2 linked regions of the Schizosaccharomyces pombe genome follow. The gene in region 2 interacts genetically with the main gene of each other region. Each region holds a gene or a part of one and is shown on either strand. Other genes may lie near its edges.

Region 1 (7,773 bases), on a different chromosome or scaffold from region 2:
AAACAAACCTGTCCCTGCTGGTTTAGGAGCAGTGGTAGCAGTGGATCCAAAAGCTGGCTTGGGAGCATTATTAGCATTTTGCCCAAAAGAAAAACCTCCGCTGGCAGGAGTAGTGGTCGTGGAACCAAAACCGAATCCAGAAGGCTTAGTGGCTGCATTATTATTGGCACCAAAGGAAAAATTACTACTATTGTTACCACCAAAAGTAGATGTTGGAGCGGTGTTATTATTTGCCGTATTATTATTAGCGCCAAAACCAAACAAACCTGTACCCATGGTACCTGAATTGGGTTGGTTATTCGTGTTGCTTCCAAACCCCCCAGTAGAAGAACCAAATCCCGTACCCGTACCAGTGGCAGCACCACCAAATAAGCCACCCGTAGTTTGACCTGTTCCTGTATTGGTTGCGTTATTTGAACCAAAAAGACCCGTTCCTGTACCAGTATTGGTAGTGTTAGTGGTTGAGCCAAAACCTGAAAAAGCTGGTTTTTGTTGATTAAATGTAGAGCCACCAAAAAGACCGGTTGAAGGAGTTGAGGTGGTATTATTGTTTTGACCAAATAACCCACCGGATGCATTATTTGTTCCAGAACCAAACCCTGTATTGGTAGTGTTACTACCAAATGCAGATCCACCGCCAAAGAGACCGGAACCAGGAGTGGTATTAGTAGCATTCGATGTACCAAACGGTGTTGCATTATTTGTGGTACCTGACAAATTCTGACCAAACGGAGTAGTTGAAGCTCCAAATGCGGGTGTTGAACCAAATGCAGAAGTAGTGTTCGTACTAGAAGCATTGCCAAAACGTCGTCCTTGATTATAGTCTTGTAAACGCAACTCTTCAAATGAATAAGATCTATAAGCGGGCATACAAGTTATAGACTGGAAGACACTAGTACCGTTTGTTTGAGGGTCTTTTTCAGAAGTTACCGCATAAGGTGGGTTAGCTGTACCATTCACAGCGTTTGCATTGCTTGAGACAAATCCAGAGGTTCCGAAAGCGTTGGTCGTAGCGGGTGTAGTGGACGAACCAAACAAGCCACCACCAGTACCTTGCGAACCAAACCTGTATTTCCAGCAGTATTGCCAGCGTTATTTTGAGAACCAAACAAGCCACCACCGGTACCAGTATTCGATGCAGTGTTACCGAACCCTGTTGAACCAGCGTTCGATCCAAAAGAAAATGACGTTCCAGTATTTGCATTGTTGTTGGCGGTATTTGATCCAAAGAGGCCACCACCACTAGGATTTGTGGCGTTGTTCGTGCCTCCAAAAGCAGGAGTATTGGATTGGCCAAACATACCTGTCCCAGAGGACATTCCAAAACCTGTGCCACCAGTCGTGGTAGTGTTGTTTCTATTTCCAAATAGTCCACCGTTCGTATTTGATCCAAACAAGGGTTGAGTAGTGTTCTGCCCAAAGCCAGTTGTAGAAGTGTTTTGGGAACCAAACAAAGTGTTCCCTGGAGTATTGGAGTTGGAACCAAATAACCCACCAGTTTGTTGATTATTTTGACCGAAAGCACCGGTTCCTCCTCCAAATCCGGAAGAATTGTTTTGTCCAAACATCACTAGGATGATATTTGATTAAATAATTAGTAAAGTCACCAAAATTGGTGTTGTGTGGACGACAGGTCCGAATAGTGCACTGCTACTCAAGATACGTTCAAGGCGTGATAGAGAAGAATACAGAAATTTAGCTTTTTTTTTAATACTCACGGTAATTACAATTTTTAAATTTGCTTCATTTGTTTTTCTCAACGTAATTGTCGCATTTCTTCTAACGTGGTATTATTTCTGTACATCGAGGTTGATCACTTACTTCTCGTATACGTACACTGGTGCTTCATAAGTCATCGAACGTTGATTCCAGGCTAGAAAATGTCTTCGGGGGGACTTGAAGATGATATTCAGCTGGTACACGAGTTTTTGGATGTATCTTTTGAGGATATAAAACCCCTGGTGTCTGTCAATGGTTTCGCTGTATTTATATCTGCTATTAAAACCAAGGTTAAAGACATAAACGCTTTAAAGGATCAGCTTGTCCTTCAAGAAGTCAACCATGAGCATAAGGAGAATGTTCTTACGAAGAAGATTAACTTTCTTGAGCAACAACTTCAATCTTCTAATAATCAAGCAGAGGAATCACGTAATCTTATATCGGTATTGAGAAATGAGAACGAATCGCTGAAAACCAACTTGGAGAATCAAAATAAGCGCTTTGATGCATTGACTACTGAGAACCAGTCGCTTAGAAGGGCTAACTCTGAATTACAAGAGCAATCTAAGATTGCTTCTGAGCAGCTTTCAATCGCGAAAGATCAAATCGAAGCCCTACAAAATGAAAATTCACATTTAGGAGAGCAAGTCCAGAGTGCGCATCAAGCATTGTCTGATATTGAAGAAAGAAAGAAACAGCACATGTTTGCTAGCAGTAGCAGTCGTGTCAAGGAAGAGATACTCGTTCAGGAGAAAAGCGCTTTAGTCTCTGATTTGGCTAGTTTGCAATCAGATCATTCGAAAGTTTGCGAAAAATTAGAAGTTTCATCTCGTCAAGTTCAAGATTTGGAGAAAAAGCTTGCTGGGCTTGCCCAACAGAATACAGAGCTTAACGAAAAAATACAGCTTTTTGAGCAAAAGCGGAGCAATTATTCCTCCGATGGGAACATATCAAAAATCCTTGAAACCGACCCCACTTCAATCAAAGAACTTGAAGAAGAAGTGGAAACTCAGAAACGACTTACAGCTCTTTGGGAGTCTAAATCTTCAGAGTTGCAATCAGAGGTTGCTGCACTTCAAGAAAAGCTCACTTCGCAACAAAGTCTATACAATAATGTGACCGAAGAGTTAAATAATAACAAGCAACAGCTATTGATTTCGGAGAATAGTTTGCGGGAACTGCAAGAGAAATATGATAGTGTAGTTAGTGAACTACAAGTGGTTAAAGAAAATAAAAATACCTCTGTTTCAGCTGGTGTAGGTTTGTTTTCTCCTTTGGCGCAAAAGTTAAGCGCCGTTCAAAATCCCGAATTTTCATTTACGAAAGTATATTCGGACAATATGAAACTCCAACAGAAGGTTTCTAGCTTAAAGCTTCAGCTAGACCGCTTGACTAACAAATTCTCCTCATTTTGTGAACAAGTTAAACAAAGGATTCCAGTTGTCAAACAACAGAGGAGTGAAATCGTTAGGAATAACATTTATATGAATTTTCTTAGCGAATCTTTGGAAACATCTAACAACAACCTAACCAAAGTACAAGCAGAGCTTTTATCGACCAAAATGCGCCAAGAAGCTTGTTACTTGCAGCTCACCGCATCTCGTACTCAATGCAGTGATCTTTCTCGAGAAGTTATTTGTCTCATGGCCGAACTTGATCATTTGAATGAAACTAAATCAAGAAACGTTCCCGCTACTGTGCAAGTTGCGCTTGATGAATACGCTCAAAATCCCTCTACTGCATCTGAGACACTAGTAAACAAGGAGCTTGCTAATTTTTCATCTATAAAGGAAGCTGTTTCGAAAACTCTAGAACTGCGGGAAAAAGTGCGGGCCCTTGAATGCGATGTTGAAATCCAAAAGCAAACTGTCCAATATCAAATTTCCAATGCAGTTAAAGAAAATTCAAATACACTTTCAGAGCAAATCAAAAATTTGGAAAGTGAGTTAAATTCGTCAAAAATAAAAAATGAGTCCTTACTTAATGAACGAAATTTACTGAAAGAAATGTTAGCTACTTCTCGAAGCAGTATTTTGTCTCACAATTCTTCCGCGGGCAATATTGATGACAAAATGAAATCCATTGATGAATCTACAAGAGAACTTGAGAAAAATTACGAAGTTTATCGTAACGAAATGACAGCTATTCAGGAATCCTTGTCTAAGCGAAATCAGGATTTGTTGAGTGAGATGGAAGCAATACGTAAAGAGTTAGAAAATTCCAAATATCAGCAGCAGTTATCTACTGATAGATTAACTAATGCTAATAATGACGTTGAAGCCTTTAAAAAGGAAGCCAAGGAGCTTCGTAGTATTAATCAAAATTTACAGGATATAATTAGTCGACAGGATCAGAGAGCCAGTAAATTTGCCGAAGAATTATTACATGTTAACTCACTTGCTGAAAGATTAAAAGGTGAACTAAATGCTTCGAAGGGTGAAAAAGATTTACGGAAAAGGACGCAAGAGCGTTTAATATCTGAAAACGATAAACTTTTGGCTGAGCGCGAGAGACTAATGAGTCTTGTATCAGATCTTCAAACTTTTCTTAACCAGCAACAGCTATCTGATGCTGCTAGAAAAGTAAAATTTGAATCTGAGAAGGAAAGCTTAAGCCTTTCCTTGCAGAAGTTGAAGGAGTCAAATGAAAAGATGAGTAATGATCTTCATTCTCTACAGAAATCTTTGGAAAAGAGCGGAATTGAGTACTCCAGCAGGATTAAGACATTAATGCTCGAAAAACAATCGTTAAGTGAAGACAACAGGAAATTGTTAGATAATCAACAAATGATGGAAATAAAACTCCAAGAATTAAACGGCGTCATTGAACTTGAAAAACAAAGATTTTCTACTTTGGAAGCCAAGTTTACACAGCAAAAAAATACGTCCTATAGCGAAAGGGAAGCTTTGCTAGAATCATCGCTTAGTGACTTGCAATCTAAACATACTTCCTTAGAATCCCAATACAATTATTCTTTAAGGAATATTGAACAGTTACAGGCCGCAAGCAAACTCGCCGAAGAAATGGTTGAAAGAGTTAAAACTGAGTATGATGAGTATCGATTGCAAACTTCAGAGTCCTTGGAAAAAAATCATTTAAAAATCACTTCTCTTGAACAAAGGATAGTTATTCTACAAGATGAGATAGCTTCTTCTTCTTTACGCTGTGAGAATATTACTAAAGATAGCGAAACAAGAGTTGCCTTGCTTTTAGAGGAAAATAAGCATCTTAACAATGAGCTTTCGTCACACCGAAATGCTGAAAAGCAACATTTAGAGAAGGAGAATGATTATAAACAACAGTTGTTGTTGGTAACTGAAGATTTAAGAAAAACTCGTGAAGATTATGAAAAGGAACTTTTAAGACATGCCGATGCTAGATCGACTCTTCAAAAACTGCGCGAGGATTACACGAAGGCATTAGAACAGGTTGAAGATTTGAATAAAGAAATAGCCTTAAAGGCCGGTATAAACGAATCTCAGCCCTTTCCCATTAGTGAAAAAGAAGATCCTTTGAGACAGGAAGTTTATGTCCTCAAAAAGCAAAACGCAATGCTTTTAACCCAACTTCAATCTTCCAATCTCAACTTTGCAGAAATAACTAGCCCATCCCCGGATTTAGATTCTGTTATGAAATTAGGATTATCAGATTTACAGAATCATGTGAAGCGTATATCCAAAGAAATGGAGATTATTTCATGCCAACGACAATTATTATTCCTTGAAAATAAGAAACTCAAGCGAACCGTTGAATCATCGAATCGAGTTATCGCCGATCTGCAAAGAGGTATAACGGAAAAGGATGTTAGCAGTACTTCTGAATCCGTTGGGGAACGTTCAAATTATCTAAACATGGTTGCTTTATTAAATGAGAGCAACAAATCTCTCCGAGAAAATTTAGAAAGGAACGAGGAAGTTATCACAGAGTTAAGAGAGAAAATAGAAACTCTTAAAACTGATTTGGCGAATTTTAGACTTAATAAAGAACAACTAGAATCACAGCTTCAAACAGAGAAAGCAGCTGTAAAAAAGCTTGAAAACAGCAACGAAGAATACAAGCGTCATAACCAAGAAATATTACTATCTTTGAACAGTAGCACATCTACGTCTAGTGATGCTTCACGCTTAAAGAATGAACTTGTTTCCAAAGAAAACTTAATAGAGGAGTTAAATCAAGAAATTGGTCATTTGAAATCTGAATTGGAAACTGTTAAATCAAAAAGCGAAGATTTGGAAAATGAGAGAGCGCAAAACCAATCCAAGATTGAACAATTAGAGTTGAAGAATACAAAACTAGCAGCTGCTTGGCGAACTAAATATGAGCAGGTAGTTAACAAGAGCTTAGAAAAGCACAATCAAATACGTCAACAACTTTCGCAAAAGACTTCTGAATTAGAAGCCAAGGTTGCGGAATGTCATCAGCTCAATGAACAACTCAACAAACCTTCTGCAACCCCCACTGCTACTACACAGTCTGAACCAAGTACGGTGTCACTGGAAGAATTCAATAGCACTAAGGAAGAACTATCTTCTACACAGCGAAAGCTAAGTGAAATTATGGATATCTTAAATACTACGAAGGAGGAGCTTGAGAAGGTCAGACAAAATAGTAATAAATCTGAGGGAACCAGTAAGGATACTGAAATACCCAACGAAGAAGAAATGGAAAGGAAGAAAGTCATGCAACAGGAAGTTTTGAGGTTACGTTCGAGAATTGCAAAAGAGCTACAGAAAAACGAATTACTCAGGAAACAAAATCAGGTTTTACAAGATCAAGTGAAAGCTTTGCAAGAGACAGTTGTGTCATCCGAGGAAGCAGAGTCCGCTTCGGTACATGCTGATACTAAAGATTTGGAAAACTTAAAAAAGACAGAAGAGATGTTATCAGTTACATTTCAAGTAATCTTCAACGAGTCCATATCTGACTTTTCGACTTCCACTGCCGACTTTACTACTTTTGTGCAAAAGGAATGGGAAAAGCGCAGAGAAATTTTACAGAAGGATGTTGAGGAACAAGTTGCTCAGTCGCATCAAAAACAACTAGATAACATCCGAAAAGAACTCGAGATGCGTAACAAGTTGAAGTTGAGCATGCTGGAAAAGAACTTAGCTAGAGTGCGAGCAGAGTTGGAGCAATCGAAGAAAAAAGATAGCCCTGCAATTTTAAGTTTGGAAGCTTCTAAAAACACTGATTCCAATAAAAGCAATTCTGAAGTCCCAGCAGCTCAAGTTAAAGAGAAAAAGTTAATCGCCAAAACTCACTCTGTTGACACTAATTCTCCTCCTAAACGGTCCAGTTCAGACGCTGGTATGGATGTTTCCAATGATGTTAAGAAAGCCAAATAGTAAAATATGAATTTTTTGGTATAATGCCCTTTTTAATGTTTCTTAAGAGTTTGTAAACAGATAATAAAATAGGTTAGCTGCATAATTATTATTTCTGGTTTCCAATAAAAAAAACGACTTTAATTTTATTATAATAAAAAGCTTTGTATTGTAATTTAATATTTTGATATTTTTTGAAGAGCTATAGATATTTTGCGCAACTAATGTCCTTATTCAGATATGTAAGCTACGCAGTTTGGTATCTGATTTAAGGATACGTAGAACTGCGGTGAGTTTTCCTTGTGGTCTATTATATTACAATACACAGGTTGTATAAGTAGCAACTGAGTATAGGTATTGTATTAACTGGGTTATAATGTTACCTATCACTAATATAGCTCATAACTGAACTGAGGAACGAGGTTCAGTTGTAACGGTATTTATAATATTTCTAAATAGTTGTTATCAACGGGTAACTATGTATATAGACGGATAGTTACCCGTGATTATCAATAAACGGATCTTAGCTAGTATTCCAACATATGACATATAGTGATACGCAACGTAGTGTATCATAGCGTAGTGTAGTATTGCTGACAAGATAAAATAAATAATGACGTTTTCGCGTGTTCTTAAGCTTAAGAACGTAACGCGCAAAAACTCATTATATGACATCCATATTTAACCCACTGGAGAACTGACCCAAAATAGAAAATTTCGGTTTTCATTG
Region 2 (3,601 bases):
ACGACTTTCGTTTAGCAGCTGAAGAAATTTGGGGCGCTTTTTCTTTTAATTTTAATACAGATTGATATTTTTCATTGACCGCAATCCCCGTCGAGATAACATTTTTATCCTCTGTATTGTTTTCACGGTTACAATCACGATATTGAGACAAATGCGACGCTCTAAGGGTTTTGAAGTTCCGTTGGGAAATATTTGAAGATATAGCACTACCAAAATTTTGACCGTTTTCTGAAATGTGTTGTTTGAAAGGACATTTATCATGAATACTTGTTGAACAAGTAGATGAATTGATCGGGCTTGCTAGCAAGGGAATACTAAATATTGTTATAATTTGTTCTTATATATTATTTTCTTACTAGTTAATAAACTCAATATCGTCTTCCTCGTCGTTTAGTGACATGCTGTTTGAAACTTGCATTGTTCAACCTGAGTAAACAAAAGGTGTAAACAAATAGCAACCAAATGTCAATAATCATTGTTACTCTTTCAGGTAGCATATTCGTGACTGCTTTTTTGCTGACATTTCGAATATTTCGCAATACCCTAAGAATGGTAACGCAGCAACTACCAACAACATGGGTAAAGTTCACGGATCTCTCGCTCGTGCAGGAAAGGTGTGTATTTAATATAGGTAGAAGTTTACAGGCATTAACATTTTGTCAGGTTAAATCTCAAACCCCCAAGGTTGAAAAGCAAGAGAAGCCCAAGCAGCCCAAGGGCCGTGCTTACAAGCGTCTTCTCTATGTTCGTCGTTTTGTCAACGTTACCAACATGGTCGGTGGCAAGAGAAGAGTAAGTATTAAAATTTAATACAGTTGTTGAAATTCAATTCAGATTAGCGAGTACTTGATACGTTGATTGAAACATTCGTGTTATTTATATTATTGTTGATTAATTGCTAACTTAATTTTTCAGATGAATCCTTCTTCTTAAGCAGTTCGCACGCTTTTTCTGGCTGTATTATTAAAACTCCTTTACATACCTTACGAAATGAGTTAAATAAAAGAACTTGCTCACCATTTTTTAAATTATCTTTTTGTAATAGTCCTTTATCGTCTTCATGTATACTTCCATTTTCTAGTAAATTTTTTCTCATAGTACCCGATAGAAGACCTGTATAAAGGAGGTTAATTAAATATCTGGCTTATTCAAGCTTTTAAAAAATGTGTAAAAAAGACATTAGTTATCTCGGTACTTACCATGCTTGAGGCTGGGCGTTATCCATTGGCCATTCCGGTGAAAAGCAACATTAAATATTGTTGCTTCTGTTACAAACCCTTGATGGTTGTATAACAGAACGTCTTGTGCTTTTGAGTATTGGGCATCATTGCGGTTCATTGCTTCAATGTAAATTGCTCGGTTGGTCATCTTATTAATGCAGGACGGGTTTTTCTCGGTAGAACTTGGTTGCTTATCCAGAATTAATGTGTACGGTGCTTTTTCTAAAGTTTGAATAGGAACAATTTGAACAGTAACGTCTCCAGCTTTAGAAAGTTCCCACCTTACCTATTATGTTTAGATCAATGTATAAAGTTTATAGCAAGCATACTTACCCTTGCCATGGAAGTATCCTGAACCGCTTCTCGTAATTTATTTTCGATGTATTGCTCTCCAGGCCAAGAGTATCCAAGAGACTTTGCCGAAGCTTTCATTCGCTGCAAGTGGCTTGGCAGCAAAAACAGTTCTCCATCATAGAGAGTGGTTTCAAATAAATTTGATTCTTCCATTCCACTGTGCTGGTCAGAATTATTCTAAAGTAAAAAAACCCAAAGAGTAGAAAGACTTAGAATTTCATATTTATTGACAATAGAATTTAGTGACAAAAATTCAAAAACTTACAAACTAAATCCTTGACTATACTACTTATCAACTGATGTAGTTAGTGGTAGCAAAAATCGATTGCTCAGGCACAGTATATTGTGTGTAAGTTGTATAGTAGTGGAGAAACTTCGAAAAAATATCAACAGAAGAGAGAACTTATGAGTAGCACACTTAGAAAATTGGACACCTCGTTGGTTTTTATTTATTTATTTATTTTTTTAAAATGAAGTCGAATCCATGCCATTACTACTATTACTAAATTAACAAAACAGCCATTTTAAATATTTGCATATGATAAATTTTGTAAACACTATAATATAATTTATTGGTGTTTAATAGTTCGAATGCAAAGTTGAAATACTTAAACAACAAGGCATTTAATTAAATAGATTAATTTTTAAGATTCAATTTATTAGCTTAGATGAATTTTTTAGTATGTTTGACTAGTTCTGTGTCATATAACTTTGGCAGCTACCAATCTCCCACTGTGTTACTTTCGACGTCGGTCCTTCGTTATTTAACATTCTTTAAATCTATTCCTTTTTTTGAGGTTTTTTATTTATCCTTTTTGAGGACTTAACTGTGGCAAGGAGTTTCTTCTCCTGTTTTATACATTTCGCGTTCGCGCTTTAGAACATTCAATCAATATGTCTTCTAGAAACGCTTCAATTGCTAATGGTTTGTCAAGGGGTTACTTCTTTGAACTAATATTTTAAAACAGAAAGAACTGATGAGGCAAGGATGTTTAATTTTTATGAAAAAATGCCTAAAGATACAAACACAGTGCGTGTATTTGATCGAGGGGTAAGTATTGATGAATAGAAAAATTTACTTAAACTTCGTAAAAAATAACTTGAAATATTATTATTTTTTAATCCAATCTAACACTGTTTTCTAGGAATTTTACGTTGCAATAGGAGAAGACGCTTCGTTTGTTGCTCAAAACGCGTATCACACTACTTCGGTGCTAAAACACCACAATGTGTCTAATACATCTTATTGTAACTTATCTCCTTCACTATTTATTAAGTTTGCGGAAGATGTTTTAAGCAACCTTGCAAAGAGAGTTGAAATTTGGGGAGCCAATTCCGCAAAGACAGGATTTGAATTGTTGAAGCAAGCTAGTCCTGGAAATATGCAAATGCTGGAAGATTTGCTTGTTAGTGAGAATTATCAAGAATCCACAGCCATTAGTGATAGCTCAGTTAGTTCGGTTTTGTTGGCTGTTACTACTAGGGTTAAACAAGATCAGCGAATAATTGGCGTTGCTTTTATAGATCCAATTTTAAAAAAATTAGGTGTTTCAGAATTTGTTGACTCAGATGCTTATACGAACTTTGAAGCTCTCATAGTGCAAGTTGGAGCGAAAGAGTGCATAATATCGCAATCTGGGCATGAATCGACGAATGGCAATTCAGCCGTTTCTATTAACACGGCAGAAATCAATCGTCTTCGAAATATTATTGAAGGTTGTGGCGCATTAGTTACAACTATAAGAAGCTCTGAATTTTCGGCTCGAGATGTTGAACTTGAGCTCTCAAAAGTGCTCGACAGTCCAGTTACACATGCTCTTGTTCCAGAACTAGGTCTACAATTAGCAATGGCATCCTGCAATGCATTGCTTCGCTATTTAGGACCTGCGTTACTAAACCCTGACATGGAAGACGACCGTGAAAACACATCTCGAAAGCTCCATCTGTATCATCACAACTTGGAACAATACATGCGATTAGATATTGCAGCAGTTCGTTCTCTTAACCTACTTCCTCCTCCCAATGGT

What was found.
Region 1: mutations in abz2 (region 2) and alm1 are lethal when combined (synthetic lethality), as found in Schizosaccharomyces pombe (one study listed by BioGRID).

The regions. Positions count from the first base shown.
Region 1 is NC_003424.3:3,190,823-3,198,595, reverse strand, and holds alm1 (nucleoporin Alm1), read left to right. Parts: upstream 1-1,828; 5' UTR 1,829-1,880; coding exon 1,881-7,064; 3' UTR 7,065-7,149; downstream 7,150-7,773. UniProt on the Schizosaccharomyces pombe protein: Maintains the proteasome and its anchor cut8 at the nucleus envelope and is required for kinetochore component proteostasis. Proper kinetochore stoichiometry ensures the correct attachment of kinetochores to spindle microtubules during cytokinesis.
Region 2 is NC_003423.3:2,346,410-2,350,010, reverse strand, and holds abz2 (4-amino-4-deoxychorismate lyase), read right to left. Parts: upstream 1,953-3,601; 5' UTR 1,840-1,952; exon of another isoform or gene 1,732-1,839; 5' UTR 1,728-1,731; coding exon 1,554-1,727; exon of another isoform or gene 1,507-1,553; coding exon 1,200-1,506; exon of another isoform or gene 1,156-1,199; intron 1,114-1,155; coding exon 899-1,113; 3' UTR 805-898; downstream 1-804. Other genes in the region: SPOM_SPBC19G7.04 (protein-DNA covalent cross-linking repair protein), read right to left, coding at 1-314, 357-400; rps3002 (40S ribosomal protein eS30), read left to right, coding at 576-614, 664-792, 916-933; msh2 (DNA mismatch repair protein), read left to right, coding at 2,469-2,499, 2,543-2,625, 2,720-3,601.